Linked DNA regions of Oryctolagus cuniculus. The protein of the gene in region 2 interacts with the protein of the main gene of each other region in a biochemical or structural test. Links are inferred from orthologs where the notes say so. Each region holds a gene or a part of one and is shown on either strand. Other genes may lie near its edges.

Evidence for each region.
Region 1: the proteins of LRRK2 (region 2) and CUEDC1 form a complex in vitro, tested with the Homo sapiens proteins (2 studies listed by BioGRID and IntAct, with this or other methods). The link is inferred for Oryctolagus cuniculus from reciprocal best matches to the Homo sapiens genes LRRK2 and CUEDC1.
Region 3: the proteins of LRRK2 (region 2) and CDC42EP3 interact on a protein array, tested with the Homo sapiens proteins (2 studies listed by BioGRID and IntAct, with this or other methods). The link is inferred for Oryctolagus cuniculus from reciprocal best matches to the Homo sapiens genes LRRK2 and CDC42EP3.
Region 4: the proteins of LRRK2 (region 2) and LGALS8 form a complex in vitro, tested with the Homo sapiens proteins (2 studies listed by BioGRID and IntAct, with this or other methods). The link is inferred for Oryctolagus cuniculus from reciprocal best matches to the Homo sapiens genes LRRK2 and LGALS8.
Region 5: of the proteins of LRRK2 (region 2) and MBP, one has a biochemical effect on the other in vitro, tested with the Homo sapiens proteins (6 studies listed by BioGRID). The link is inferred for Oryctolagus cuniculus from reciprocal best matches to the Homo sapiens genes LRRK2 and MBP.
Region 6: the proteins of LRRK2 (region 2) and BAG2 form a complex in vitro, tested with the Homo sapiens proteins (2 studies listed by BioGRID and IntAct, with this or other methods). The link is inferred for Oryctolagus cuniculus from reciprocal best matches to the Homo sapiens genes LRRK2 and BAG2.
Region 7: the proteins of LRRK2 (region 2) and NDUFAF7 form a complex in vitro, tested with the Homo sapiens proteins (2 studies listed by BioGRID and IntAct, with this or other methods). The link is inferred for Oryctolagus cuniculus from reciprocal best matches to the Homo sapiens genes LRRK2 and NDUFAF7.

Annotation. Positions count from the first base shown.
Region 1 is NC_091448.1:33,330,823-33,334,590, forward strand, and holds part of CUEDC1 (CUE domain-containing protein 1), read right to left. Parts: intron 1,721-3,768; coding exon 1,594-1,720; intron 1,019-1,593; coding exon 826-1,018; intron 1-825.
Region 2 is NC_091440.1:131,745,866-131,750,365, reverse strand, and holds the start of LRRK2 (leucine-rich repeat serine/threonine-protein kinase 2), read right to left. Parts: upstream 2,834-4,500; 5' UTR 2,732-2,833; coding exon 2,575-2,731; intron 2,432-2,574; coding exon 2,346-2,431; intron 1-2,345. UniProt on the Homo sapiens protein: Serine/threonine-protein kinase which phosphorylates a broad range of proteins involved in multiple processes such as neuronal plasticity, innate immunity, autophagy, and vesicle trafficking.
Region 3 is NC_091433.1:165,017,009-165,021,379, reverse strand, and holds the start of CDC42EP3 (cdc42 effector protein 3), read right to left. Parts: upstream 2,888-4,371; 5' UTR 2,865-2,887; intron 1-2,864.
Region 4 is NC_091444.1:61,224,099-61,227,866, forward strand, and holds part of LGALS8 (galectin-8), read right to left. Parts: intron 3,053-3,768; coding exon 2,842-3,052; intron 1,358-2,841; coding exon 1,238-1,357; intron 327-1,237; coding exon 270-326; intron 1-269.
Region 5 is NC_091441.1:2,285,890-2,289,657, reverse strand, and holds part of MBP (myelin basic protein), read right to left. Parts: intron 2,330-3,768; coding exon 2,210-2,329; intron 1-2,209. UniProt on the Homo sapiens protein: The classic group of MBP isoforms (isoform 4-isoform 14) are with PLP the most abundant protein components of the myelin membrane in the CNS. They have a role in both its formation and stabilization.
Region 6 is NC_091436.1:112,404,826-112,409,184, forward strand, and holds the start of BAG2 (BAG family molecular chaperone regulator 2), read right to left. Parts: upstream 2,878-4,359; 5' UTR 2,716-2,877; coding exon 2,603-2,715; intron 1-2,602. UniProt on the Homo sapiens protein: Co-chaperone for HSP70 and HSC70 chaperone proteins. Acts as a nucleotide-exchange factor (NEF) promoting the release of ADP from the HSP70 and HSC70 proteins thereby triggering client/substrate protein release.
Region 7 is NC_091433.1:165,582,474-165,586,757, forward strand, and holds the start of NDUFAF7 (protein arginine methyltransferase NDUFAF7, mitochondrial), read right to left. Parts: upstream 2,901-4,284; 5' UTR 2,813-2,900; coding exon 2,758-2,812; intron 2,465-2,757; coding exon 2,301-2,464; intron 1-2,300. Other genes in the region: CEBPZ (CCAAT/enhancer-binding protein zeta), read left to right, coding at 2,956-3,111. UniProt on the Homo sapiens protein: Arginine methyltransferase involved in the assembly or stability of mitochondrial NADH:ubiquinone oxidoreductase complex (complex I).

The DNA.
Region 1 (3,768 bases), on a different chromosome or scaffold from region 2:
AAAGGACCACATTCCTGTCAGTGGAGGGGGCTCCCGGGCCAGCAAGGGCACACAGGGGCTGAGATGCAGGAGGGTGGGGGTAGGCCTCACACACGGTGCACTCAGGTCTACCAGCTCTCAAAGACCGGGCGACAGCACGGAAACTTTGGCCTGCCAGGGACAGCGCTCCGGGAGGTTAAAGGTCAGCACGAGAAGGGCCTGGGAGGCTGCAGCGTCCAACCCTCAAGTGCAGCACCTGAGACCTCCAGCACTGTGCTGCAGAGCTGGGGCCAGCCCGGGGCCTCCTCGCTCTCAGCCCAGCCTTCTTCCTGCACTGACATACATCAGACACACAGACACACACACACACACACACACACAACACTCCTGCCCTGAAGGGAAGAGGTGGCCGAGCCTCAGCATCTCCCACGCAAGCACAAGACCAGTGTCCTGCCCCGATGTCCACACAGGCGGTCTCAGAAGCCCAGCACCCACAGGCCCCCCGCCCTCTTCCCGGGGCTCTGGTTTGTGAGGAACGACTGAGCCCCCTCACCCCTGTCGCCCCCCCCCCACAAAGCCAGGCATGGAGCAGGTGTGCAGGGGGAGGAGAGGACCTAAGAGGGCAAACCCTGCAGGGGAGGGAGAAGCGGTGGCTGCAGGTGCCCCAGCTTCCCGCTGGCAGGATTCTGGGGCTGCCCCAAAGACAACCTGGCGGGGCCATGCCGAGCAGGACAGACAACACCTGGCACCCAGCCTGCTGCTCAGTGCTCTCGGGAGCCAGCATCGTGTCCCCCTCTCAGCCCCGGGCAAGGAGAGGCAGCTGGAGCGCCCCCACGCGGTGCCCACCTCTCTCCAGGGCGAGGAGGAAGTCGCGGTTGCGCTGCAGCTCCTTCATGAACTCCTCGTTCTGCAGGAAGAGTGCGATCCTCTCGTCCTCCAGGTACTGCTTCCAGCGGCTCTCCTGGTCCCTGGGGTCGGGCCCAGGCGCAGGAGCCGGGCCTCCCTCTCCACTCACAGGCTTGGGGCCGGCGGGGTTACCCTGAGGAGAGGAGTGAGCGTGGGGGAGCCTCCTCACGAGAGCAGGTGCTGCACCCCTCGCTGCATGCATGCCCTGCCTGGGATCCCCCAGCCCACCCCCAGCCCACCCCTCCTAACAGCCCCACTGTATCAGGTCAGAGCCCTCTCTGCTGGGGAAGGGCCAGGGGCTGAGCAGCGATGCCTCTCTCTCTCTCTCCACCCTAGATCACTGCTTGCCTTCGTTACAGCCAGAATGGTCCTGAAGAGACCTGCAAACTGCTCACCAGCCTCCACGTGGACCCCCAAACTCTCCCGGCAGCAGCCGCCTCACAGTGAGCCCCCCTCCCGCGGGGGAAGCCTTGGCCTGTGCCAGTTAGCTGGGGGGAAGGCTCTCTGTCACTGGCTGCCTGGCTGTGGCCCAAATCTCCTCCAGCTGTCACCTTCCTTGGGTAGAACAGGACACCTTCAGGCCTGGACAGGAAGTGAGGCAGCAGCCTGGGCTTAAACATCAGGAAGTAAGCTTGGCCGGCTCGAACTGCGTGGGCAAAAGAGATGCTGGACAGGCAGGTGGGAGAGGACGGCGGGGCAGCCCAGTACCTGCCCGCTGTCCAGCTGCTGGGGCAGGATGCGGAGGAAGTCATCCGGGAGGCTGCCCAGCAGCGGGGGGTTCCAGTTCCGATAGCGCCTCTGGCTCGAAGGGGGCCCAGAGCCCAGCACGTCGGTCCTAGGGTGGGGGTGCAGCGAGGAGGGAGCCGTCAGGCCCAACCACGGGTCTCGGGCGCATCACATCAGGTCCTCAGACAGGCTGGATCCGGCCCGGAGAGCCCTGTGGCCCCCACTGCCTCCAGGACCAGGGCCCTAGAGAACCGACTCCCTGCTCGCGGCGCTGATGGCGCTGCGGAATCACACGCACTGTTCACGCGCATCGCTGAGCCGCTCGCGCGCCTCCCACCCGGCCCAGCGCGAGCTCCCAGCTGCTGAGTGCCAGGCTCAGATGAACGAGCAGTTGCCCCTAGGCTGCCTGCACGTGGGCTTGCCGTGGGGGAGGCCAGGACCCCTCCAGAGACGGTAAAGCAGAGCCAGGCTCCAGTTCTGGCTGAGCCATAGCCAGCAGGGTGGTCTTGAGTGGGACCCCAGACTCAGCATCCTCACCCCAGAAACTGCCGCCCCCCTGCTCAGGTGCCCGGGAGCCTGTGTTCAGAGAAGGCAAACCAAGAGGTGTGGGGAAGGGGTCTCGTTGCAAGGGGCACCCAGGCAAGGGAGTGGTGGGAGGCCCGCACCTAGGCCAAGGCCAGCAGGTAGGCAGGGGGCAGGAGAGGCGGAGAGGAGAGGCACACCGGCTCCTGACCCCCGGGGGGCCTGCCCTTCCGGCCGGCCGGGGCCTGGAAGCAGCCTGGAGCCCTGCCAGGAGCTCCCTGCGGCTCCTCGGCAGCCTGTGGCGTGGCAACCGCAGGACACGTGTTCTGCTGAATCAGGGAAGTGACACAGTAAGAAGGCAGCCGGGGCTGGGCGCTGTGGGCCACTCTCGCTCCCTCGAGCTCACTGGCTCGCCTCAGGCCTGGCTTTGATTTGGTCTCCAGCTCCAGGAATCCCGCCCGCCCCCTCACTGGAGGGGAGCTTTTCCGGGCTGCTGCTGCTGCTGCTGCCTATGGAAATAACTTCCTTTCCTTTTCTATTTTGGGCCGGTGGTGGCTGGGGGGATGGGGGCGCGAGAGAGGGTGGGGGCGGCAGCAGAGCACAAGCAGCTGCGAAGTGCACGGGGGAAGCTCGGCCCTGCAGGCTAGGGCCAAGGTGACCCCTGCAGCCTGTCCCGCTGACAGCTGAGGGCAGAGTGAGAGCAGAGCGTGCAGAGTAACCTGGGATGCCTGTCCTGGGCTAGATCTTTCTAGAGGGCCCTGCCACCTCCTGTGTGTGGGGGGGGCACTGTCATGCTCAGCTCACCCAGGATGACAGCGACAGGAACCCCAGCATTGCACTTGGAGCTCCCCAGCCACTCTGCTACTGAGAGAGGGGAGGGGCTGAGGTGGAGGAGGCCCGTGTCAGCTGAGTTTCCCTCGCTGCTGGGCCTGTGGTCCTGGGGGGAGGGGGGTTGGGGGAGCGGGCCCTTTGCCCTGGCACTGGCAGAGATGAGGTCAGCCCACAGCTGCGCAAGCCAGGGGGCCCCAAGCCCAGGCAGCCCAGGCAACTCCATTGTGGTAGGGAAGGAATGTCAGAAATGAGCTGAGAGGCAAATAAAACACTTCCAAGGCTGTAATTTCAATGGAAAAACAGCAGGCGGCTGTGCCCAGGGGTCCACGGGTTGCCTCTGTCTTGCAGGCAGTGGCGGGGAGGGCCGGCTGAGGATGGGGCCAGAGGCTGCCGAGAAGTCCCACTGGGGTGAGACCTGGCCAGGGTAGACCTCCAAGACAGGCCCACCAGGCAGGAATGCCAGTGGAGACTGGACACTGCAGCCCAAACAGGGAGAGGCCGTGTCCCAGGGTGTCTGACCGCGGGGGCAGGACCTTCCCTCTCTGTGCCCCCAGGGAGATACCCAGCTCCCCAGCTCTGCCCCCTCTACAGGCCTTCAGGCACCACCCCCCAGTGACTGGCAGTGGCTGGAGGGGGCATCACCCTCCTGCTAATCCCCCTGGGGCTGCGGGGTGTCTAAGAAGGAAGCTCCTCAGAGGGTGCCCAGCCCCCTCGATGGGTGATCTGCCCGCCTCCCCAGGAGCTCCCACTCCTGCCTCGTTTCCTGCCCCGGGGCCTTGGCACCTGCTGTTTCCGTTGCCCATG
Region 2 (4,500 bases):
AAAATGAATCACCGAGGATGCTCACCTCGCGTCTGTACCTGCCTGGCTGACACAGGGAGAAAACCTGTGCTGTTTTCGTTGTTGAAACTGCAGCATCAACAACGGCTCTGCAGAAAGATGCAGTCACCGAGCTTGCAGGAGCTCGGCGGAGCGTGTGTGAGCCAAGACCATCTCTGGCAGAGCAGCAGAGGTAACAATCGATGCATTCATCCAGCCCATTAAAAGCTTATCTTCCGAAGAAGGCCCCTATTCTGCACAGCTACTGCGCAATCACATCAGTAGCTTCACTTTAGGATAATGATCCTATAAACCCAAGCATCTCATCAGTGCACAATGGAGTGCAGAGGTTAGCAAGATTGTAAGCCACTTTCATTGATTCTGCGCCCCCTTTTCAGTGGCTGAGACTGTGCGGATAAAAAGTAATACTGAGGAGCAGAGAGGAAATGAACGGCAGCGAGAGAGAACTTGGCCTAGCTACCAGGTCTCCCAACAGTCATCTACTTAAAGCATTCGTAAAATACACAAAGGTCCTGAAGAACTCAGAGCCTGCAGTGTCACATTAACGGGCTTCTGAGAAAGCCCTTTTGGAAGAGTCAGGCACCTAACTCCTTAAATATGTACTTGCAGCAGGTGAAGCATTCAAGTCTTCTGCGCCGACAGTCAAAAAAATCTGGTGAGGGAGAAACCTGCTTTTACGTGGAGAGGCCCCTTTCCACATCCCTCAGATAAGACCACCTAATTCAAACTGATGTCCTGATGTCAAACCACTGAGCCTGTGCCTGGCACGCATTCTGCAGTTACTGCAGCTCAAGACGGAAAGAGAACCTGGGGGTGCGAAAAGTCTCAAGCCCCCAACTCTGAGACCCCCAGGGAGTCTCATAATGTCCACTGAGCTCCCGCTAGATAAGATACCCAGCAGGAGTTCTCCGAGCAGTGAGACCCTGTGAGAATCAAAAGGTGCCATGTCCATCATCCCTTATTTACTGTGCACCACGCTTTGCCTCTGGTACTCTGTGCAAAGACCCCGAGGGACCTGCCTAACGACCCCAGGCTCGGGCAGTTTCTCAAATTAACAATCAGGGACTATGTTCCTGGCTCCCTTGGGCTTCCCAGAGCAGCACTCCTCCCCACAGTGCATACCCAAGGCTGTGCAGGATCCCGGGGAGAGAACTGGGAGAGAGACTCCAGAACACCCAGCACATGCTGGAAGAAGGGTGGTGTGGGTGACAGCAGCAAGCACCATCAGCCAGCCCCTAACAACTACCCAGACTCGAGAGCTAAAATGAGGACTCTCTTGACCACGCCTGCCCTTCCCTCTGGGTTTGGTTTGACAGCAGACAGAACATCAACTGTCAGATGGCAAACACTTCGCCATTGAAAGAAAATAAACATTTACTCTAGATGTAAGTGTTCTCATAGGAAGCAGGCAGATCCAGGGCCCAGGGCTCATGCAGAGGAGCTGCAGGTACAGAGACAGACCCAAGGTGGAGAGACACTGCCATTCTCCCAGCTGCAGCCTGCCAGATCAGTGCGCGGGCCCCTCCCCCCAGCGACCTGACCCGCGGGGCACAGGACTGCTCTCAGTTCCCCAAATCTCAAAAGCTGCACAGGACGTCATCACCTTGGGGAGTAACCGTCCTGGGGTCAACCACTCTCAAGGCTCACTGACTCCTGCCTGAACGCCCCGAAGGCCTTCGGCGCCTTTCTGGGTTCCCCCATGCTGCAGGGTCTCGAAGTTTCACTCCTACAGAGGTTTTAGGTCACAAACCTTAGCGAAGCACCAACTCAAACAGGTGAGGCAATCAGCAAACATCACTTCCTTTAAATCCTACAACGCAGCCCGAATCTCACGAAGGCGCGGAAGCCTTCAGACTGGAAAGAGCAGCCGCGGAGAGCCAGGGCGCAGACCTCCAGCCGCCTAACTGCGTCTGATTGCCGTTCCCTGCGCCCCTTGGTCAAACTCGCCCTTCCCAGACGGTCTGGTCTGGACCGCGGCTGCACGTGGGGGAGCCGTTCAGAGGGGTTCCTCCCAGACACGACGGGGGGCTGGCTCCTCCTGCCAACAGCAGTCCCCGCGGCCACCCAACCCCTGCAGCCAGCTTTGGGTAGCGGCTTGGGAAAGCGGACTGGAGCGTGCCGGGCCCTCAGCCCGTTAAGTCAAGCTCAGGATCCCCCAACAATGCCTCCAGCCTCAAGACAGCCAGCGGTTCCGGAGGCCAAACCTCGGCTCGGCCCGGCCCGGCCCGGCCCAGCAGCCCCGGGGATGCGGCCTCCCCGCCGGCAGGCAGGAAACGTCGGGTTCCCAGCAGAAGGAGTCGCGGGGTGGGGTAGGGGGGCGCCCTCACCTGCTGCACACTCGCGACCCTCATATACGAATCCAACACGATCAGCAGAGGCACGTGGAAGCTTTTGCCCCGAAACAGCCTTGAGGCTGCAAGACAAGAGGGTGAGGGAGGAGAGGCAGAGTCAGGGCCCCTGGCGCTCTGCGCCCCGGGGAAGGCCGGGCGGCAGGAGCGCAGGAGCCGGGACCGGTTCGGGGCGCAGCGAGGCGCAAAGTTTGCGCGGCCGCCTTACCGCGCTCCGAGTACGTGAACACGAGCAGGTCCTCCAGGGTCTGCACCAGCGTCTCGACCTGCTTGCCCTCCTGGACGTTGTTCAGCTTGACCAGCAACTTCTTCAGACTTTCCTCGTCCTCGTCGCTGCCCTGGTTGCTGCCACCGCCACTGGCCATGGTGGCTCGGGCTGCGAGCCGCCGCCCTCCGCGCCCCGAGGAGGCCTCCTGCGCCCGGGCCGGCCCCGCGCGCCGCCCTCCGAGGCCCGCCGCGCCCCGGCCGCACGCGCGCGCCGCCCACGGGGAAGGCGGCCCCGCCCGGCGCGGCCCTGCCTCTCCCGGGCCCGCCTCCCTCTCCCGAGCCCCGGGCCCGCGGCCTGCGTGGGGCTCGGCCCAAGCGTGGATCCGCGGCCCGGCTGGGGCGCGCCCACGCCCGCGAGACCCGCCCTGGCGGCGCCGGATCCCGTAGGCAGCGGTGGCGGCGGCGCGGCCGGAGCCCACGGCGACCCCACCGCGGCCCGCCCGCCGGAGGTCTGCGCCCTGGAAAAAAGGAAAAGCGAAAGCCGGCGGCCTGCCGACCTAAGAATAGAATCCGGGCGTTGGGCGAAGGGGACGCGGCCCAGCCTCCCGGGTCGGGATCGCGGCCTCGGGCTAGGGGATGCGCTCTGCCCCAGGGATGCAGCGGTGCGCGGGGAGAAGGGCCCGGCCACCCTCTGCCGTGGCCGCGGCGGGGGACGCACCATGCGCTTCCCCGTTGCTATCGCGAGCCCCGGGGCTCAGGAGGCCCCCAGAAACCAACTTGCGAGCTTGAGTTTGCGGCAGGCGGCACCGTGGTGGAGGGGACGCCGGGCAGGGTGGGTTCTGCGCGCCGTGGGAACCGAGAGAAAGACGGGGAAGTGAAAGGAGAGGTGAGAGACCCAAACCTCAAGTCTGTTTGCTCAGTGTCCAGAATGACTCTGTGGGCCTGTGCGTCTGCGGATGGAAGGCAGGGCGGCCTCCGGGGGTGGGAGTGGGGGGTGGAGGCTGGGGTCCTGAGAGAGGGAGAGGCTGGGCTGGAAGTTAGTGCTTCTCCGTTCCCATATCGGTGGCATTTTACATTTTACTAAAGAGGAAGCTGGGGGCTGGAGCTGGGGAGTGGGGCTGAGCCGAGGTCCCGCAGGTGCGCACTGGGGAGCCCGGACTCGCCCCAGGTGGACTGAGGTCTTCCCAATTCCCGCCTTAATCAGAGTGGGCTTCGCTTTCCCAGTGGATACCTTGAAAATGCCCCTTGAATGTTTCACACACAGGCCGGAGCGTTTGTGGTTGAAATGACGGAGCGCTCAGGTTTGCTCCAGAGTCCCCCGTGGGGAGGGGAGGGCTGGCACGGGCGGAGGCAGAGGTGGGTTGATCCCTGTTGAAGGGAAGAGAAGCGTTCGTGCAATCTATGGTACTTCTCTCTCTGTATAAGATTTTCCAAAAGCGACAGACAGCGCCTTGCACTCCTTATCAGATCTCCAGTGTGTGCTTTTCCAATCGGCGTGGAACCTGTCTGAACTTCCGGCCGCAGAGGCAGTAACTGCGCTGTCCCTAGGAGTTCTCCCTCTGTGCCCTCCTCCTAATCCCTTTGCACCAGGTGCTCCCTTCCCAGACCACTGGATTACCACTTGTAAGAAGCCGGCACTCCGTCAGCCAGCCTGTGAGCAGGCCCAAGGCCTGTGGCTTCTCTTGGGAGCATCCTCCCATGATAACTGCCTTGGGAGGCAAAGAGTCCCCTTAGCTTTTAAAAATGCTAAATTTGGGGCTGGTGCCGGTGGCATAGTGGGCTAAGCCCCTACCTGCACTGTATGGGCACTGGTTAGTGTCCCAGCTGCTCCTCTTCTGACCCAGCTCTCTGCTTATGGCCTGGGAAACTAGTGGAAGATGGCCCACGTGCTTGGGCCCCTGAACCCACTTGGGAGACCCAGAAGAAG
Region 3 (4,371 bases), on a different chromosome or scaffold from region 2:
GGCAGCAGGTGAAATGGGCTGAGAGGTGAGGGGGATAGAGAGGACAGGCCCTCGGTCACAAGGTGAGCAGCTACAGAGCTTCCCCTGAGCCCTCAGACACAAAGTCCTCCTGCTTCTGGCCCCTGAAGTGCCAGCCTCTGCGAGGTGGGCTGCGGGGCTTCTGATCGCCTTGCTCAGCTCTGCGGATGCTCCTAGTTGGAGAGAAGACAAGATTTCTGCACCTTGGTGTCAGCCCTTTCTGCGTCCATTGTCCTGCTTTACCTCCGGGGCATTTCTTGGCTGTCAAGACCCAGAAACAGGAAGTGGGACTCCCAATCAGAGACTCTCCTTAAACCTCCATTACGTCATAGACCAACAGACAAACAAGGTATTCATGACAGGGTCATTGACATTGCTAAGTCATTCAGTCAACATTTCACCAAGGATGTGACTAGTGCTGAGTGTCAAAGGGGTCCCCAAAACAGCAACCTTAAATAATCCCAAAGCTAGTCACCGTTTTCATGCATAATGAGAAAACAAAATATTATGGCCAAAAATAAGTTAGAATTTCAAAGTAAAAGATGCTGTCTGGGCATTTCTGAGTGCCTACAATGTACCCTTCATATTAAAGAAGTAGAAATTCAATATAAATGGTAGCTCTATGACAACAGAGCAAATGGACATATCTTGAGACTTAGTGGCCAGAGCTTATTATATTTAATTTTTTATGCTGGTTTCAGTATCTTTATTAAAAATATTTATTTATTTATTTGAAAGACAGAAATACAGATAGAAGGGGAGAGAGAGAGGGAGAGGGGAGAGGGGAGAGGAGGGGAGAAGGGAGAGGAGGGGAGAGGGAAGAAGGGAGAGGAGGGGAGAGGGGAGAAGGGAGAGGAGGGGAGAGGTGAGAGGAGGGAAGAGGGGAGAAGGGAGAGGAGGGGAGAGGTGAGAGGAGGGGAGAGGGGAGAAGAGGGGAGAGGGGAGAGGAGGGGAGAGGGGAGAAGGGAGAGGAGGGGACAGGTGAGAGGAGGGGAGAGGTGAGAGGAGGGGAGAAGGGAGAGGAGGGGAGAGGGGAGAGGAGGGGAGAAGGGAGAGTAGGGGGAGGGGAAGGGGAGAGGGGAGAGGAGGGGAGAGGAGAGGGGAGAGGAGGGGAGAAGGGAGAGGGGAGAGGGGAGGGGAGAAGGGAGAGGAGGGGGAGGGGAGAGGAGAGGAGGGGGAGGGAAGAGGAGGGGGAGGGAAGAGGAGGGGGAGGGGAGAGGGGAGAGGGGAGAGGGAGAGGTCTTCCATGCACTGGTTTACTCCCCAATGACTGCAACAGCTGGGGTTGGCCTAAGATAAAACTAGGAGCCAGGAGTAGCTTCCGGGTCTCCCATGTGGGTGCAGGAGCCCCAGGACTTGGGCCATCCTCCACTGCTATCCCAGGCACATTAGCAGGGGGCTGAATTGGAAGTGGAGCAGCCAGGTCTCAAACAGGCACCCATACTGGATGCTGGCACTGAAGGCGGAGGCTTAACCTTCTATGCCACAGTGCTGGCCCATTGAATATCTTTAAATTAATTATGTAGTCTAAAGATCTTAGGCAGTTGATGTTGACCAGCTGTACTGTTTGCTTTATGAGCAGGTGGAACTATTTGAGTTTATTGGTTCTCAAACCACTGCCAGATAATTATGAAACAGGAGTTAACCAGCTTAGCTTCTCAGCCCATGTCTCTGTGAAATGATTATGAAGCCAAAAGCTGTCACTTCCCCGTCAGTGCTTTGCTGAGCCCCAGTGACCCCAGTGGTGCTCCCAGGCCACCAAGGCCACCTCTCCCACTCTCCAAATATTCCAATGAGGTGCCCCACTCTGCCCCATTCTGCCCAGTCTTCAAAGATTTGCACCCCTCCCCCACCCCCAGCTCCACAGGTTCCAACTAATCTCACTGAAACTTGTTCCAACTAACCTCAGGGAAACTTGCACTTAGGTACTGTATTGCTTATTGGGACGAAGGAGAATATAGGATTGGCCTCAACACGTTTCTCTATTCCTCTCTCCTCCTTGCCTTCTGGGTGGTGGGAGCTCTAATTGGGTTGAACTTGGTGTAATTCTGGAGCCACATTCATAAGCAAAACATAAAGATCCCACACAGCATCGACGACCCAAGAATAAGTGGAAGCTGCTGTAGATATTCTTTTTCTAGTTGCTAGAACAAGGGGTTGACCATTTTAAGATGCACAATCTAGTTAGAACCAATGGATGAAGGAGCCAATTCTTACTTCTGGATGCTGACTTCAAGCTCAGGTAGAAGTACTGAGACACAGTGTGAAATTCCCATTTTCACATGAACATTATATGTAATGCTAACATATAATATTGCATATAAAGTCTTTTTAAAGAAGAATGCAAGATTATCCAGTCTATTCAACTTATGATTTTTTTCTAATTTCAAGCCAAAGGTGTTTTAATTCTCATAGAAAAGTATTGAACAAATCATGACGACTAACTTTACTCATACAACCAGGCTTTACAGATAAGCATCTCCCTGTGCTGCTCTTCACTGGGTTCTACGACAACTCTTCAAGGCAGCTGGGACCCGGATTCCACTGCCCATGCGGCACCTGTGCTGCTGGCCACAACCACACTGCTAGTAAGTGGCCCTCTGAGCCATGGGTCTGGACGACAGCCCATCTTTCAACCACAGGGGAATTACTATTAATTTGTAAAGTAGCATTTGCAGTAATTTTGGACTTGCATCACAGACACACAAAGCTATCCAAATGATGCAAACCCACCTTCTGATGTGGGTGGAAATGGGTTCAGATCTCCAACAGAGCTGCTTAGAAACCAGGCCCACAGTGCTCCTGCTCTGAAGGCACCTCTCCCCTGGCTCCTTCAGTTTTCTTACCTGTGGCTGACAGTTTCAGGGTGTAAAATTTGCTTCAGGTCAAGGCTGGATTGGAATCTTTGCATCTTTGCCGAAGAAGCAATAAGTGCAAATAACCTTGAAAAAGAAAAACACAGCTGACATCCCTTATGCAAGCTGAGTACATTCCAAGACCCAACTGAAACACAGATAGTACTGAACCCTATGTAGACTAGGTTTTTTCCTACACAAACACATGGTGCATCTTAATTTATAAATTAGGGACAATAAATGACAATACCTAATAAAACATAGAGAAATAATAACAATATGCTGTAATAAAGCTGCCAGCATCACTACTCTTGGAGTCATTATTAAGTAAATTACAGGTTATTTGAACATAAGTCCTATGATATTGCAGTAATAAATTTGATATTTATCAAGGTGGCTACTAGATGACTAAGGGGCAGGTAGCATATACATGGTGACTACATTGCCTGACAGGATGATTCACACCCCCAGGTAGAGCAAAACAGCAAGGCAGGAGAATTGATCATGCTGCCCAGAGCAGTGTGCAATTTCAACTTTGGAATTCTTTCTTTCTGGGGGTTTCCATTGCATATTTTCATGCCTTGATCAACAGCAGGTAACTGAAACCACAGAAAGTGAAACTGGCTAAGCAGGGACTGCCACATGTTGCACTCCCTTGTCAGTGATGTTGTGGCAGGAGCACAGGCCCTGGGTCAGACGGAGCTGGCTGGCATCCTGGTTCTGCAGCCGGGACTAGAACCGGTGTCCATATGGGATGTTGGCATTTCAGGCCAGGGCATTAACCTGCTGCACCACAGTGCTGGCCCCTGTCAGTTTATTTTTAATCCAATTAACTGTACACTCATTGAGCAAATAATCACTAGGTACTTCTCATATATACCAGGCATTGTGCCGAGTGCTGAGTGCTGGTATATAGTACCAAACACTTAAAAAGGGCTCTCTGTGCTCTTTGGATCCAACTATGGAGTACCTTTATTAATTCACTTTCCTGTCTCCAAAAATTAGTAGTGAACATTGTAAATCCACCACTTTGGTGAAGAAAAGTTCTCTTTTTTTCCTGGCCACTTTGAAATGAGGAAATCCATCTCATATGAGCCCACCTATTCCTCTGGTCCTAGTTCCACCCCTCTGGGCCCACAGAAAGGAAGTTGAATCTCTCTGCACAGGCCATCCCTTCCAAAACCGTGCAGACAGCACCCGCTGCTCCCTGAAGCTTTGCCCCTGAAAACCAAGTCCCCAACCTTTCTGCTGCGCCACACATGGCATGGTCTCCACTCCACCCTTGTCACAGAGAACGCTGGACAAAGAGGCGGGGTGGGCACCTGCTTTGGAAGCCAGGCATGGAGATAATGCTCTGACATTTCCAGCAACCACATGAGAGGGAATGGGCATAGCCAGACACTGAGGATACCTGACGAGTATCAGATGCAGAATTTGGGATGAACGAATCAGCCGGATATTAACCGCATGGAGGTGGAATAAAAATAGGAGCATTTGG
Region 4 (3,768 bases), on a different chromosome or scaffold from region 2:
AGCTGGGACCCTGACACCCACATGTGAGACCTGGATTGAGTTCCTAGTTCCTGACTTTAGTCTGGCCCATCCCTGGCTGTTGTGGACATTTGGGGAATGGACCAGCAGATGGGAGTTCTCTATCTCTCTGCCTTTCAAGTAAGTAAGTTTTTTAAAATTTTAAGTAAAATGAAATCATAATATTAAAAAAAACAGCCTTTCTGCCACCTGATTTACATTGCAACTAAAAGAACACTTCCATACAGGTGGTTAAAAGATTTAATATTTACATTTTCTCTACTTATCGCTGTCAGCTCCACAGTGGATGCTTGGGTACTTTGTAAAACCTGAAGAAAAGATCATTTTTAACATCCATCAGAACATCTTTTCTAAATATGACCTGTTCAACATATCAAAAAATTATTAAAGGTAGTAAATATGAAAACATGCTTGAAAATTGTGCTCCAAAAATGCTCTTAACACGCCTGTCAATTGGGTGAACATTAAAGAGAGTACTATCTGGTGTCAACAAGAATGTGTGCAGACAGGCACAGGTGTTGAGAATGCCAATTCTTTTCATCTTTTTGGAAGGTAAGGCAAAAATATCTATCAAAACTTACAATGTAAATATCCTTTGACTCAGATATTTCACTTCCAATAAGGGATCTTACAAAAAATACTTCATGTAAAGGAAATGCCCCAGCTAACTAAAAAGAGTGCTTGTTTTGCTAGAACCATAGTAGATCTGAAATCATAAAGCCCTGGTCAATAGTAACATTCTACTACTCGGAAAAAATCACCTCCAAGAAACTACTACTCTAATAAAGGAAGTATTTATATTATTCTTATCTCAGTAGATGTTAATTTAATTTCTCCCAGTTTGTCAGAAACTATCACCCCACCCACCCACCCAAAAAAAAAAAAAAAAAAAACACCCTAGGGATAGGCATTTGGCCTAACAGTTAAGACACCTATGTCCCATATCAGGGTACCTGAGTGCAATACTCAGCTCTGCTCCTGACTCCAGCTTCCTGCAAATAAAGACCCTGGGAGGTAGCGGTGACGGCTCAAGTGATTGGGTTCCTGCTGCCATGTGGGAGACTTGGGTTGAATTCCTGGATCTAGGCTTTGTCCCAGACCTAGCCATGATAGGCATTTGGAGAGTCAAACAGCAGAGTAGAGCTCACTTTCTTTATCTCTCTGTCTCTCTACCTCTCAAATTAAAAGCATATGCCCCAAATTATGGAAGGGCACTCACCGAGCTGAAGCTAAAACCAATTGAGTGAATATTCACTTTGCCATAAATGCCCAGAGTGTCTATTTTCTCCAGACTTATCCTGTGGGCATAGAGGAGAATGTGTTTTCCATTTACAGCCACCTAGATGCACATAGAAAACACCCCCCACCAAAAAAAAAAAAAAAAGTAAGTTAATAAATTCTTATCCAAAAGTAAATGTTCTCTTGAGTTTAGCTTTATACCTTCCTTCCATGATTCTAAATACACATCTGACCAAACTGTGTTTGAAAGCAACCACAACGCTATTTCTTAACTTCTGGGCTCTTGATCTGAGTAGAGGTCATAGACCACTCTTCCCCAGACAGACTAAGCATTTCTGAATATATGTACATATCCATGTGTGCACCCACAAGTATACCTGAGACATCCGGGTTCAAAGATCCCCCATCAGTCCCTGCACAGGTGCCCTGAGGCCTTTGTGAGCTCAGGTTAAAGATCCACCCTGCCTGTTCTCCAGTTTCCTAGAGGACCACACTCTGAGATAGTCACCTACATGGTAGGCACCCCATGAATATTCATTGGATTTACTAGATGGATCAACATGGGCAAGTTACCCAACCTATTTGAGGGTTGGTTTTATCATCTGTAGACAGGAACAGTCTCTACCTCAAGGGCAACGGTTACAAGGAGATGACCAAGTAGCTTCTGCAAGTTTTTGGTCAGTATGCCCGGCTCCTCTTCTCTTCCTCCCCAGTACCCGGTGCCGTGTTAAGTTATGTGCAGAAAGCACAGCAACAAACAAAAGGTGTCTGACTCAAGGAGCTTAAAATCCCATCAGCAAACCACAAACACAATAACACCAGTACACTGTTAAAGAGTGTTTAACAGTAAACTGTTAAAAAGAATGATACAGGCACAATTGCTCAAAAGCCCACAGACAGGACGGGTGAATGGAGCTGACGAGACTTGAGGGACATTTTCCAATGCAAACAGTGTCCTTCAGGACAAAGGAATCCGCACCAGACACGTGAGTCCTGGCTGGAATCGGTGTGAATCTCCAGCCTGGGAAAGCTGGGCTTGAGGGCCAGCAGGTGTGAGAGCCTCTAGGACAAATTCTGCCTCACCTATACACCCCAGGTGCGTAAAACATTCCACAGAGCTAGTGATAGAACTTTCTACATGAAGGACTTCTAAGATCCCCTATGGATCTAAGCTGTCGTGATGTCATAGAATTATGTGGGTCAGAACTTAACTTTACCAATCCCTTCTGGTTTCTACACTGGGGTTCCCCGTCTGTCAGTTCCAGATCCTCCACACTTCGAGTGGTGGTGATCATAATTTACTTGCCCACAATTAACATATTGCTTTGTCAATTCAGAATTCAGCCCTGCCAGCAGACGTATGATCCAATGAAAAGATCTAGCCACACCGGGCCTGTTTTACTACGTGGCAACGGCTGGCTGGACAGAGCAGTTACGTCCTACCTCATGGTTAGGCCCAGTCCTACTACAGAGAAAAATGACAAAGCCAAACTATTTCTCAAATGTAATAAACAAAAGTGAAAAGCCCACCTGCGTGCTCATTCTCACCAGCGTGGATTCAACTTGTCCTTCCCCAAAACCTACCTGGAATTTTTCCTTCAGCACCATGATCACAATTTCAAAAGATTTTTCTCTATTGAAAGGCATGTCGTAGGTGATCTCTTCCCATCCCCATTTTTCATTCATCAGAGTATTGCATACGATGCAGCTGGTCCTTTTGAAACGAGGATTGAAATGAAAGGCCACATCGGCTCGAGGTTTCACGCTGCTGCCACACTGTAAATCCACTTGGAATCTATGTGGGGAAAGACACATGCAAGCACTCAGAAAGGAGGCCCACCAAGCACTGCGCTCCACGCCCAGTGATTTACAAGGCTCCCTCCTCTATTCTCTCACTAAAGGCCTAGCTGTCTCATCTTCCCTTCTTCTGCGTCTCAAGTGGGTCCAAATCTCCACCAGAACAAGAACCCACTTTTTCCACCGTTTTTTTGCAGGTAGGGCTGCCTTTATAGTCAAAGTGCTCCCAATAGATGCATATTGCCTTAAAAATCAGTACACACCTGCCTTATGTCTACTCTGGCTTCTCCCCCACCACCACATGCAGCCATCCCGCTACCAGAACACAACACTAAGGGCAGGTGTCCTAGTTGCTGAGGATTGTGAGACGGCGGCCCTCGACCCTGGGGAGAGCAGTGGAGAGCTGGAGGAAGCCCACTCCTCCAGTAATGTGATGGAGTTGACAGAAAAGATCTGGGCCACCTCCTTGAGACTGGATCGTCATATTTCATTTAACAAGTGTACACTGGCTCATTGCCCAAATGGCTGCAACGGCCAGGGCTGGGCCGGGCCAGGCCAGGCCAAAGTCAGGAGCTTCTTCCAGGTCTCCCACACAGGTGCAGGGGCCCAAGGACTTGAGCTATCTTCTGCTGCTTTTTCAGGCCATTAGCAGGGACCTAGATCAGAAGTGGAGTAGCTGGGACTCAAACTGGTGCCTGTATGGGATGCTGGCAC
Region 5 (3,768 bases), on a different chromosome or scaffold from region 2:
AGCTACCAGGGGACCTGCCTGTGCCTCAGGATGAAAAGTACACACAGGGCGCCTCCGCCTGCGTCCGGGGAAGGCCGCCCTCGACTGGGGGCAGGGGCGCTGTGCAGCGCTGCGGCCCGGGCTCAGCTGCCAGCTGCCAAGGGCCTTGTCCTTCTTTTCCAGCCAGAGACTCCCAAGTCCAGGCTCTGCTGCACACCTGGTTGGGGGTCAGGGTGAACCGCAGGCCACACTCATTGTGCTCCCTGGAACCTGCTGCTCCCCTACCCTTCAGACCCAGGGCTGTGTGTCCTGCCTGGGGGCGGGCGCTGCTCCGGCTAACCCCTCTCTGCAGGTCCAGGGCCTCCCCCTGGGCCTCTCCCTGGCTGCCTCGTTCTACAGATCCTTGGGCCCTGTCCCGTTCTGTTCCTTCTGCCGGAACCAGGGTTTCCCACTGTGCGCGCCTGGCTGCTGACCTCAGGTCTCGGCCCTGTGTAGTACTCCCTGGCCACCCCACTGGGCGCTACAGGCAGCTCTGCCCACACCACCAGGGTGGCTCCTCTGCCTGCCTCCTGCCGCCCTTCCTACAGCGTTTCTCCTCCTCACTCCCATCCCCATTCCCACCCCAGACATGAGCTCCTTGACCAGGCTGTGCACTTCTGGCTGTGTCATTCATTCAGGGTCCCCGAACCCAAAACTGCCTGTGGTATCCACCTAGGGAGTCCGCCTGTGGTGTACACCTAGGGAGTCCGCCTGTGGTGTACACCCAGGGAGTCCGCCTGTGGTGTACACCTAGGGAGTCCGCTTGTGTTGTACACCCAGGGAGTCTGCCTGTGGTATAGACCTAGGGAGTCCCTGTCTGTGGTGTACACCTAGGGACTCTGCCTGTGGTATCCACCCAGGGAGTCCGCCTGTGGTGTACACCCAGGGAGTCCGCCTGTGGTATACACCCAGGGAGTCGCCTGTGGTGTACACCCGGGGAGTCCGCCTGTGGTGTACACCCAGGGAGTCCGCCTGTGGCATGAGCTGCACTCGGGCAAGGCTGCAGGACTGGCTGAGACTCACAGCCCTCGCCCAGAACAAACAGCCTGGCCACTGCCTTCGCTTGTCCCTTCCCCGGCCTGGGCCTCTGCCTTCCAGGGACCTCCTTGTGCGCCAGGGCCGGCGAGCCCAGTAGGGCCTTGGGAGTTCCTGCACCTGCACAGCCATGAAAAGGGCCCTTCTCTACCCCTGGAGTTCACGCAGAACTGAGTTAGGGCCTGACAGAGATGGAGCAGCCTGCCTGGCTGTCAACGCGTGCTCCTGTCTCCAGGGTGGCCCCCCCATGCACTGCACAGTCCTGACCCATCTTTTCAAAGCTGCAGGGGCCTGGGACCTGCCCTTGTGGCCTCCCAGGAGGCAGGGTCCTGGTGGCACAGGCTTCCTCCCAGAGAGCAGGACGCTGGGCTCAGGACGAAAGCCTGGACTGCCCCCCACCAAAAAAAAAGCCTGAGAAGCATTTAAGAGAGACACTCAAGACCTGTCTGAGGCGAGCTGGGCAGAGCTGTGTGGGCGCACAGGGTCTGTGCCTCCCCCCGGCACCAGCCCGACTTGCACTGTGCACACGGGGTCTGTGCCGCCCCCCCTCCCCGCACCAGCCCAACTTGCACCGTGCACACGGGGTCTGTGCCCTCCCCCAGTGCCAGCCCATCTTACACCGTGCACACGGGGTCTGTGCCGCCCCCCGGCACCAGCCCGACTTGCACCGTGCACACGGGGTCTGCACCTCTCAGCCTGCTGGGCCACGCCGGCCCTCCCTTTTTCTCTGGAAGGTTCCTCTTAGCATTTCTCTGAAGGTGTCTGTAGCTGATCCTGTTCTAAGCAAAGGAACGGCCAGCCCACGGCCCGCCTTTGCCCGCTGCACCGCATAGCCCACCCTGCGAGGCGCATGGGCCTACCCTGAACCCCCAAGGGGGAGCTGTTCTCAGACCCGTTTGGAAAGTGCCCAAGCTGGAGTCTCTGGGCCTGACCTCTCACGCTCTGCCCTGAACGAGGGTCGGGCCCCTGTGCACCTGTGCAGTTCCCACAGGTGAGCTGAGGCCATGCCTGCTGGGCTCCGGGAGGCCCAGCCTCACCGCCTGGACTTTCGCCACAACCTGTCAGCTGGGTCGGCCACCGTTTCACACACAGGAGCCCCAAGGCTGCCCTGGCCGGCCCTCCTCCACTCCTCCCACCCCTCCCACGGGGTCCTTACCAGCTTGAAGAGCCTGGAGAGTGTGCCCTGGGCGTCTGCGCCCTTGAGGCCCTTGTGGGCCGATTTGTAGTCAGCTGCTCTGCCTCCATAGCCGAACCCGGGCTTCTGGCCCTCGGCACCCTGCAAGACGAGACCCGAGTCAGCCTCAGGAGCCTTGGTCCACACTGCAGAGCCGGCAACCAGCTAGCCCCTTGCTCTCAGGGGCTGCGGCCCAGTGCTCACTGTGACCACCAGAATCGTGTGTGGAGCAGGTGCTGCCCCCGGCCTGGGCTTCTCCCGAGACGGCTGTGCACGCCTGCCTGCACCTGTCCAGGGAGGGGTCCTGGGGGTCTGGTGTGTGCACGGGGTGCTGGAAGCACCACCGCCTCTGGGTGACCCGTGGGATCCCACTCACCCCTGCCCAGCTCCAGGGCCCTGGACGGGCCGAGATGCTGAGGCTAGAGGAACCTTCCCCAGAGCTGACCAGCATCAACCTGACCTGGGCCAGGAGCCCTGCCAGGAGTCCGGGGCTGCTGCTGGGGGCAGGGAGGCAGGGCCACAGCTGTGCACGGGGCAGCTGCGTGCTGGCGACAACGGAACCTCTCGGCTTGTCTCCTCGTCGACAGAACGGCTGTCGTGGGGACAGGTGCATGGAGGGGTGCTGCTCCCAGGCCAGAGCCTGTAGCCCTGGTCCTGCTCTCCGGCCATTACCACGGAGGTGACTCCAGGCAGGAAGGGCCCCGCCCCACAGCCCTTCTCTCACTTCAGGGCAGGGGCCAAGTCCCCTTGTGGGGGTCACAGTGATGAGCGGTTACCAAAATCCCAGAGTGTCTGCGTCCAGGGCCGTTCTGTCCTCTCGCGCACTTGTTTTCCCACGGGAACTTGCCCTACCGCAGGACGAACTCCCGGCCTGAGCACGGGGCCGAGTCCCCCGCCGTGGGCTCGCCGTCCAGGGACTGAGGTGAAGCAGGCGGCTCGGGCTTTCGGGAAAGGACCTCAGCTCGCTCACGGACTCCTGCCGAAGCCTGGGGCCCCGGATCTCGCTCTCTGCTTTGGAGACTCACTGAGTTCTCTCCTGAGGATCCGGCCAAGACCGTGGGCTGTCAGCCCGGCCTTTCCGATTGCACAGTTTGGGGACAGGAAGGGCCTGGGATTGTCCCCTGCCCCTCGTCTTGGCGGCGGTGCAGGTGCGATCTGGAGCGTCCAGGCTCCTCAGGGCCGCCCCGCTGGTTGGGCAGGGCCGGGGCTGGCCGCAGGGACCTCCCCCCACAGAAGCCTCCTCTGCCATCACCTCTTCATGCGACCTGTGCTGGGGAGCAGATGCTGGCCACGTGGAACCCAGGTGGCGATGTCCATGTGAACACCGGGATTCCATGCTTAGCAAGGGGGGAAGGGGTGAGGGTTGCGAGGCAGACTGGCTAAGCACCACAAACTAGAGGAACGCCAGTGCTACCCCGGCATCCCAGAGGTCCTCACGGCCACTCTGTGTCCGTTGGTGCACAGAGGGGTGAGTAACGGCTGGGGGGCTACGCCAGGCGGACGACCACTCGGCGGCAGAAAGCCCCACTTCCCCTTAGGAA
Region 6 (4,359 bases), on a different chromosome or scaffold from region 2:
TAAGAGAATTAAGGCATGAAGTCTTAGAGCCTTGCGAGCCAGACTTCCTGTGTTCAGATTTAAAGCACACTACTCTCTGGTGGTATGACCTTGGATGAGTCTTTAGTTTCTAAGCCTCAGTTTCTCATCTGTAGAGTGCAGATTACAGTAATTTCCACACAGATATGGAGCCTGACATGTAAGCTGTATTATTTATAAATGATAAATGTCTAAAAAGATAATTAGCAGAGTAGCTTGAGCTATTGACAAATGTAAAATTATATTCCATTCAGAAATCATGAAAACCAGGAGAGAAAGGAACTGCCTCTTTGGGGACGCAATCTGGAGACAAAATGCAGTCAAAAAAGCAAGGCTTGTGTAACAATCAAGTATCAGAAACAAACTGAAGAAGACTGCCAAACATTTTACAGCATTTTAAGCATCAGGAAGGCCAAATATTCCAGGTCATCAAGCACTGGGTATAATCCTGTTTTTGGTTTCAGAGGGAAGAAGTTTCCTTCCCAAACATCAAACTAGCATTAGAGAACAGTACATGCATACTTCTAAGTACAAGCTAAAATGCCTCACTCTACTAACATAACTACTTTATTAGTGTTACTTAATATGACCTCAAACGATGAGAATAAATTATATATGAATTTCATGTTTGAAAACTCGACCTCCCTCTAGGCACGATTCTAGTTTTCACTGGTACAATGCTCTGCACATTGCCTGCATGGTATCATCCAAACTTCAGTTAGGATCAGCAGTAGCATTTTTCTCTATTTTTGCGAACCTTCTGAAACACTTGTTTAGTTTTCAGTATTACTCTTTTTAAAAGGAAGAAACAAAACTCTAGAATTATTCGAGAAGCCCTTGAAATGAACAATTAACACACATATTAATCAGACTTTCCTCCTTCAGCCCAAGTGGTAATTAAGCAACTTGTAATTTAATCACTTATGTGCAGTAATCAGAATTCATTTGACATTCACCAAATATCAGAAATACAGTAATACCCCAAATCAGAGGCCTTGTTTTAGAAGAGGAGCACTTGACTGCTTTTGTGCCTACCACATGTGAGGACAATGACTCAGCTTGTCATTGGAAGGAAGGAAGGAAGGAAGGAGGGGGAACATGCTCCTCATTCCTATAAGAGAAAACCTGTTCTCTCTGACTGGGGGAGAGAGGCTAGTAGAGAACGCCTGGAGAGAAGTCTAAGGTACTTACTAAGCTGCTACACAAAAGAAATCCCATTCCTTAGAGGGGCTTGGAGTAGCTGAGGCCACTGTAGTTTCACTCCACTTTCTCTGGGTGTTGAACCCAGGTTTGCTGATTCTGTGGCAATCCATAAGGAAGCATTGCTTCTCTCTTCAACTTGTCGCACCCTAAGTGAACCCCAGTACCTGGCTTAGGGCCCAGGTGGCTCTGTTGCCATCCCTGGAATTGTGAGTGGAGAATTTCACACTTTCTGGCGATTTCCTCCCAGTAGTAATAGCGAATCTTTTTTTACTAGCAGACACTGTGGTTACTGGTATCTTTTCTGGGCAAACAGACACTTCTTCATGTTTTGCTATATTAATGGAGGGAGAGAAGGACACACAATACAGCACTGTTTACACTTTGGGGCTTCCACACTCCTTTGCGCCTTCAGAGCTTGGCAGAAACTACTGAACCAAATCCTATGTACAGTGTCAGGGGGCTATGCGTGTCTCAAGATTTTCACCTAACTATACCTGCACACAACCACAACGCAGACACTAACTTCAGACACAAATGTTCATAGATAGTACATATACGTTTTTATACACTGTTAAAGGAAAAAGCCATTTCCAAAACTTATTACTACTTAGACATTCTATACAAGCCTATCACTATCTTACTTACTTAAAACTGTCATCAAGGGAAAAAGGAAAAACTGTTGACTATCTTTTCATGCTTTCGGGCCAGTGACTAGCACTTTTAAGGTCTCAGCAGCATCTTTTATGTAAGGTAATAAATATTAAGAAAATAAATACTGGAACACAGTATGTGGGCTTAGGAGAGCAAAGGCAGCCATAATGTCTTTAATCCACGAGGTACAGGACCCAGTTACTGTTCCTCCTACAGCCCCTCCCTTGGCCTACTGCTCTACAATTTTTGCTCTTAGATGCATTCCTGGGGTCCCCCCCCTTTCTGCTCTGAAGTGCTTTGGAACAAGAAAACTTCACGGGGGGTGGGGTGGGGTGGGGAGAACACTTTAATCTTTTTCCCTTAACTCGCAACCTTGGGGGGGGGGGGCTTAAAGATCTTTGGGACCCCAGAGAAGGTTCTGGAAATAATCTCCATTACCATCACCCTAACTTTTATCTTCTCTGGGTATTCGCTAAAACACACAGGTGTGTTCACGTGTCCATCAATAACGTGCTCACAGGTTAGCTGGGACGGAACGCGTTTTCTCTCAGCGAGGAGAGGAAAACCTGCCAGGACACAAAACCGCACCGCCTCCATCCACACCACCCCAACAAGCAACTTCTCTCGCCGCCGCTTGCCCCAGGCGGGGCCTCCGCCCGCCGGCCGCCCACGCGGCGAGCAGGACGCCCGAGCCCGCCGCGTGCCCCTCGCCGGCCCGCCGGCCGCTCACCTGAGCTCGAGCTGGTCCAGACTCTCCAGCAGGCGGCTGGAGCGGTCGGCCATGGAGGAGGAGCGGCAGAAGCGCCCCTCGTTGGCTTTGGCGTTAATCTTCGCCTGAGCCATCTGAGCCTCTGAGGCGGGGCGGCCGAGAGGTCACCGGCCTCTCCCGCGGTGGCGAGTGGAGCGCTCCCGGGCCGCAGGCGTCGCCGTCACCGCGCGGGGCGCCCGCCTCTCTCTGACGCCCGCGGGGGCGGCTCGCGAGGACGCGCCGACTCCGCCGCGGCTGCGTGGCCAAAGAAGGGCAGGCGCGGCGCGCGCGGGCTGGGGGTGGCGGGGCCTGGAGGGGGCTAGCTGGCCGCAAAAGCTCGAGGGTGGGCCTCAGGAGCTAAGGCCTCCGAGACTCTGGGATGGGAGGACCCAAAAAGGGGAGCACCTAACGTAGTCGGCTGCTCTCTGCTCCTGGAACAACCCGAAATCGGCGCGGAGACCCAGCGAACACCCAAGCCCCGACTCTTGGTGCAGCATAAAAGTAGCCAACTCCCCCTATGCGGAGTTACCATACCACACGGTGGGCAGGCTGTGGGTGCATGGCTCACCGATGGTTTCGTTTACTTCCTTTCAGCACCCAGAATTCAAAGCAAGAACGAAAAAACATTCAGGTTTCTGCCGACAGGGAGAAAAGGTCCCTTTGCAAAGCAGAAGACATAGAAGGACACCGCCTCCTCGGCAGTCTGTACTTGACCAAGTCACTTTTCTGAGAATAACAGCCTGGACCACACTGACGCTACTGAGAAAGAATGAAGCAGCTATCCCGTCTTTGCCTGTCTAGCTCCAGATGCGAAGCAAAGTGAATTTAATTCCCACACATTCCAAGAAAGGGAATTTCACTTTTATGCCTACAAAAATTTTTTCTGGTATTTTAAATAGTTGGTAATGGTCACTTCACACCCAACGTATTAAATCTGTTAACGACAACAACAAAAATCCAGTAAATATCAGTAAAAGATGGAGCAGGGCCGCTGTATTTAAAATATTGTGCTTTGCTCCGCTCTCAGGATAGCTCACGTTACAAGAATGTTCGTATTGCAAGTATGAAAACTGAAGGCATGGAAATGGTAATAACAGCTTTGAAGCTGAATCACAACCTTTCATCAGTGACCATCACCACTTAAATACTTTAGCAGAGAGGGAACTCTTAAGCCTGGATCCCAATTCCATCTGTACTCATTCTAAATACTAGTAAGCTTTTGGTATAGGGTGTTATTTGACCGATCTCATTAAACATATTTTTGCCAAACATTAAACTCGATATCCCAACACATTTTGTGAATGGCTTGATGTCTCTCAAGAGACTTTAGATTCACCTTGGACTTTCTCTCATGTCCTAGATCCAGTCCATCAGTAATCACATGAATGCTACCTTCACAGTATGTCCAAGATTCTTCCCTCAGCTCCATTTCCACTAGGTCCACGTAACCTGGTCAACTTGCACCTGGATCATTGAGCGTCCCTCTTTGGTTCATACTTCCACTCTTGCTTCTCATGTGTATTCTCAACTGCAATAATCCTAATTAAGGTGGATGACAGCACTTACTCTCAGAAACCTTCAGTAGATCCTCAGATCAGCATAAAAGCCAAGGTCCTTAGAAAAGCCTCAAAGTTGATCATTACTCTCCTAGCCCATGCTGCTTCAGACCTACTAGCCTTCTTGCTTTTCCCTGAGTATACCAAGCACCCTTCGAGAACTTCTCATTCACTTGGAACTTT
Region 7 (4,284 bases), on a different chromosome or scaffold from region 2:
TTGTGACGATATCAGATGTACTGCAATAGTATCAGCAATTTTCACTGATGACAAAGTCACAGATATTGCTCATTACCTGAGTTCATAACAGAAGAAATGCTAAATTTCAGTTGTAAGTCAATAAAAATAATGGCATAAATTTTTTCCCATCCAAGTTCATGAGGCCAATCATTTCTATCAAGAGTCTCTTGGGTAAGGACCCCAACTCTAGGGACAGCATTGTGGTACAATGGGTTAAGCCACTGAATGTGATGCTGGCATCCCACAGGAGTGCCAGATCCAGTCCCAGCTGCTCCACTGCTAATCCAGTTCCCTGCTAACGCACCTGGGAAAACAGTGGAAGACAGCCCCAGTGTTTGGGCCCTGGCAACCGTGTGGGAGACACTGATGGAGTTCCAGGTTCCTGGCTCAGCCTCAGCCCCAGCCTTAGCAGTTGAGATCACTTAGGAAGTAAGCCAGCACCTACCTCTCTCACACCTTGCTTTCAAATAAATAAATCTTTGTCAGACCTCAATCGTGAATTCCGGACTTATTCCAAATCTTACTACTGGGAGGCCTGCCTTTTTGTAGGTCCTTTCTCCCTGGTTCTCTGCCATTTAACACCATGTACATACTGATGACAACCAAATTTACTCATCTCCAGTCTTTCCTCTGGATTCCACCCTTTTTTAAAGATTTATTTATTTTATTTATTTGAAAGACAGAGTTACAGAGAGAGGTAGAAGACAGAAAGAGAAGTCTTCCATCCGATGGTTCACTCCCTAATTGGCCGCAACAGCCGGAGCTGTGCTGATCCAAAGCCAGGAGCCAGGAGCCAGGAGCTTCTTCTGTGTCTCCCACGTGGGTGCAGGGGCCCAGGGACTTGAGCCATCTTCTACTGCTTTCCCAGGCCATAGTAGAGAGCTGGATCAGAAGAGGAGCAGCTGGGACTAGAACCAGCGCCCATATGGGATGCTGGTGCTTCAGGCCAGGGCTTTAACCCGCTGGGTCACAGCGCCAGCCCCTTGATCTATTTATTTGAAAGGCAGAGTTACAGAAAGGGAAAGAGAGAGAGAAAGAGAAAGAGAGAAGTCTTCCATCTGCTGGTTCACTTCCCAAAGAGCCGCAAAGGCCAGAGCTAGACTGGTCTGAAGTCAGGAGCTTCTTCCGGATCCAGAGCCAGGAGCCAGGAGCTTCTGTGTCTCCCACGTGGGTGCAGGGGCCCAAGTACTTGGGCCATCCTCCTCTGCTTTCCCAGGCACATTAGCAGGGAGCCAAATCAGAAGTAGAGCAGCCAGAACTGGACCCAAATGGGAAGAAGCAGGCAGTAGCTTTACCTGCTAGGCCACAGTGCTGGCCCCTGAATTCCACGCTTAACAGTCAACTGCCCCCTTACTATCTCCACCTGAATATCATTGCCATCACAGTATGCGTAAGACTCAGCACCTGATATAGATCCTTTTCTCAGGACTCCTACAAACGTAATCCTCTTGTCTCAATCTCAACACCAAAAACACGACCATCACCCAATCAATTGCTCAAGCTAAAAATCCAGAAATCAGTCATGAATCTACCTTTTCTTTCACCCTGCCACACCAATCCACTAGCAAACGCCGTCACCCACTTGTCACCCCATTTCCACTACCACCACACTAGGTGAGGCCTCCCCCTCACAGCCATTGCCCACAGGCATTAAAGACCCCTGCCTTTAACACACCCCTGGGCGCAGGAGTCACTCCACCACATCCAACTGCAATAGGCCAACCCAACCCCAGAATTCCCCATGTCACATCTCAACCCAGCAACACGTGAGATATTCCAAACTAAAGGGCTACAGGCTTTCCCCAAATGCCTCCGTAGGGCTTGCAGGTCAGAAAGCTGCGACTCTGCTTCACCCTAGAACACTAACGACCGTGACCCCCCACTCTCAGGAAAACCAGAATACAACACGCTTCCGAATCCCGACACAGGCAGCATTCCAGGCAGCTGGTCTCCCCCTCCGCACTTCCTTCTCCAACAGCGACGATGCACCATGCACCAGCAGCACTGCAGGAAAGTCATCCGCCCCTCCCCACAGAAACCCGAGCGGCTTCACTCTGCTTCTGAAACACCCTTGGAGCTTGCCCTCTGCTCTCAGGCGCTGCCGCCGACGTGACCCAGCCCTGACGACTGACAGATTAATTTACCCACTCCCACGTCTTCGGGGATGGCTCTTCCCTAGGTACCCCCGAGCGCGGCTGCGGACCTTCAGGCCTCCCTGCCTTGACCCCACCTTGCAAACCTGCCGGCACCGGCCGATCCTTAGGCTCCCCGACCCATACCTTGGCTGGATTGGTCAACACCTCCTTCATGTACTCGGCCACAGTGATGGGGCCAGTGGACTTTATTTTATACACCAGATGCCGCAGCATTGGCGTCGTCGGGTTCTTTTCTGCCCGCTCATTCCCAGTGCAAAAGCATTTCCCTCTCCAAAGACAGGGAAAGACTGGGGAAGAAAACAGATTAAACAGGTCCATTGAGAATATCAGTCTTCACACGAGCAAGCACCTTTCAACCCAACTTCGTTAACCCTTACCCCACAGGCTGACTCCGTGCGGAGGACGCCCAAGCGCGTCGAGACTTCTCCCCCCACCACGCAGCCCCCCGGCGTCTGCGGCCAGACTCCTCTCCACCCAGAGTGCCTCAAGCTGGATGTGAGCGTCCGGACCCCAGAAGCCCCCAGCTGAAGAACTGGGACAGAACCCCAAGTAGTACGGGTTCTGCAGCACTGACACTTACCCCCGCGCGCCGCAGAGCACAGCCAAGCCCGACCGGACAGCAGCAGGACGCTCATGCCGAGCTCGGCTGCCCGGGGACGCACCGCCCCGGGGGGTGGGGATTGCAGCCATTTCCGGGAGAGAACACGCCCCCTGCAGGAAGTACGTCACGGGACAAGCGGAAGTGAGCTGTGGCGCTTGCGTGCGCGGCGCGTTGGTCATGGCTGCCCCCAAGGCGCGTTTGGAGTTCCACGCCAAGCGGCCCTGGCGCGGGGAGGAAGCAGTGGGCGATCCTGACGAAGAGGACGAGGATGATAGCGGAGAAGCCGAGAATGGGTTCACCCTGGAGGAAGTGTTACGGCTCGGAGGCACCAAAGTAAGGGCCGGAGGGCCCCAGGGGAACGGGGACTGGGGCCGGGGAAAGCCCACCGCTCGCGCCGAGAGGGAAAGGAATCCTGGACCACCCAGCCGCGGAATGTGCTTGTCGCATTTCCAGCACTTCTCTCCACTGCCTTTTACGAATCGAACCCTTCAGGTTGATCTTTTATGCCTTTTTCGGGTAGTGGACTATCCTCCCCTTCTGTTGACGTGAAACATCCGTCACTTCATCTGGTCGGAGAGAACGGACTTTCCCCGGTCCTGACCTCGCGGCGTGAATGTTTTCAACGCCAGGGATGCTCGTTTCTGTTAGTGCTCTGGGCCGCTTAAGAGTGAACCAGGAGGATGAGAGAGGACGGACGGTACCGTTTGAAGTGACTTGATCGGGGCCGCATCACCGAGGTGTTTTAGCAAGAACCTGAAGGAGAAGTAGCGTGCAGTCTAGTCAGATGGCACAGCGAATGCAGGGAGGCGGGAGTGTCTGACATGTCCCCTGAGCGGTGCAGATGCCGCGTAGCTGAAGCAGGGTGAGGTAAGGAGAGAGTAGCAACAAATAGGCTCAGGAGTAAGAGGGCCGGCTTTTGCTGTAAATTTGATGCGAAATCTTTGCGAGATGTTTAAGCAAATACATGATAAGATTTGGCTTTTTTTTATATATATATACTCTTGTGAGTGAAGGCAGGTTAGAGGCAGGACCAATGCAGCCTACACAGTGTGCTCTGGACTTGGGTTATATATAATGTTTTAGTAGGTGATATAAAAACAGGAAACAAAAATTATAGGAGGAAAGAGTTATGTGGTGAAAAGCCTCCTTTCCCACTTTTATCTCTAAACAGGCATTTCCCTTCTGGGGAACACTTATTTCTTCAAGTGCGTTTTTTATCTTCTATGAATATTCTGTACCTCTCCAAGCAAATACACAGTTACATATGTAATATATATATATATATATGTGTTGTGTTTTACACAGATAGTACCATGGTGCATAGAGCTACCCATATTTTGCATCTAACCAGCCATTTATTGTGGATTTTAAGTTGTTGCCAGTCTTTTTGTTATTTTAAGTAATACTATAGTGAATAATGTTAAGCATATTTCCCCCCATTTCTAGGGATATGTGTGATCTAAATTTGTAGAAATGAAACTACTGGATCAAAGGATGTGTATGCTC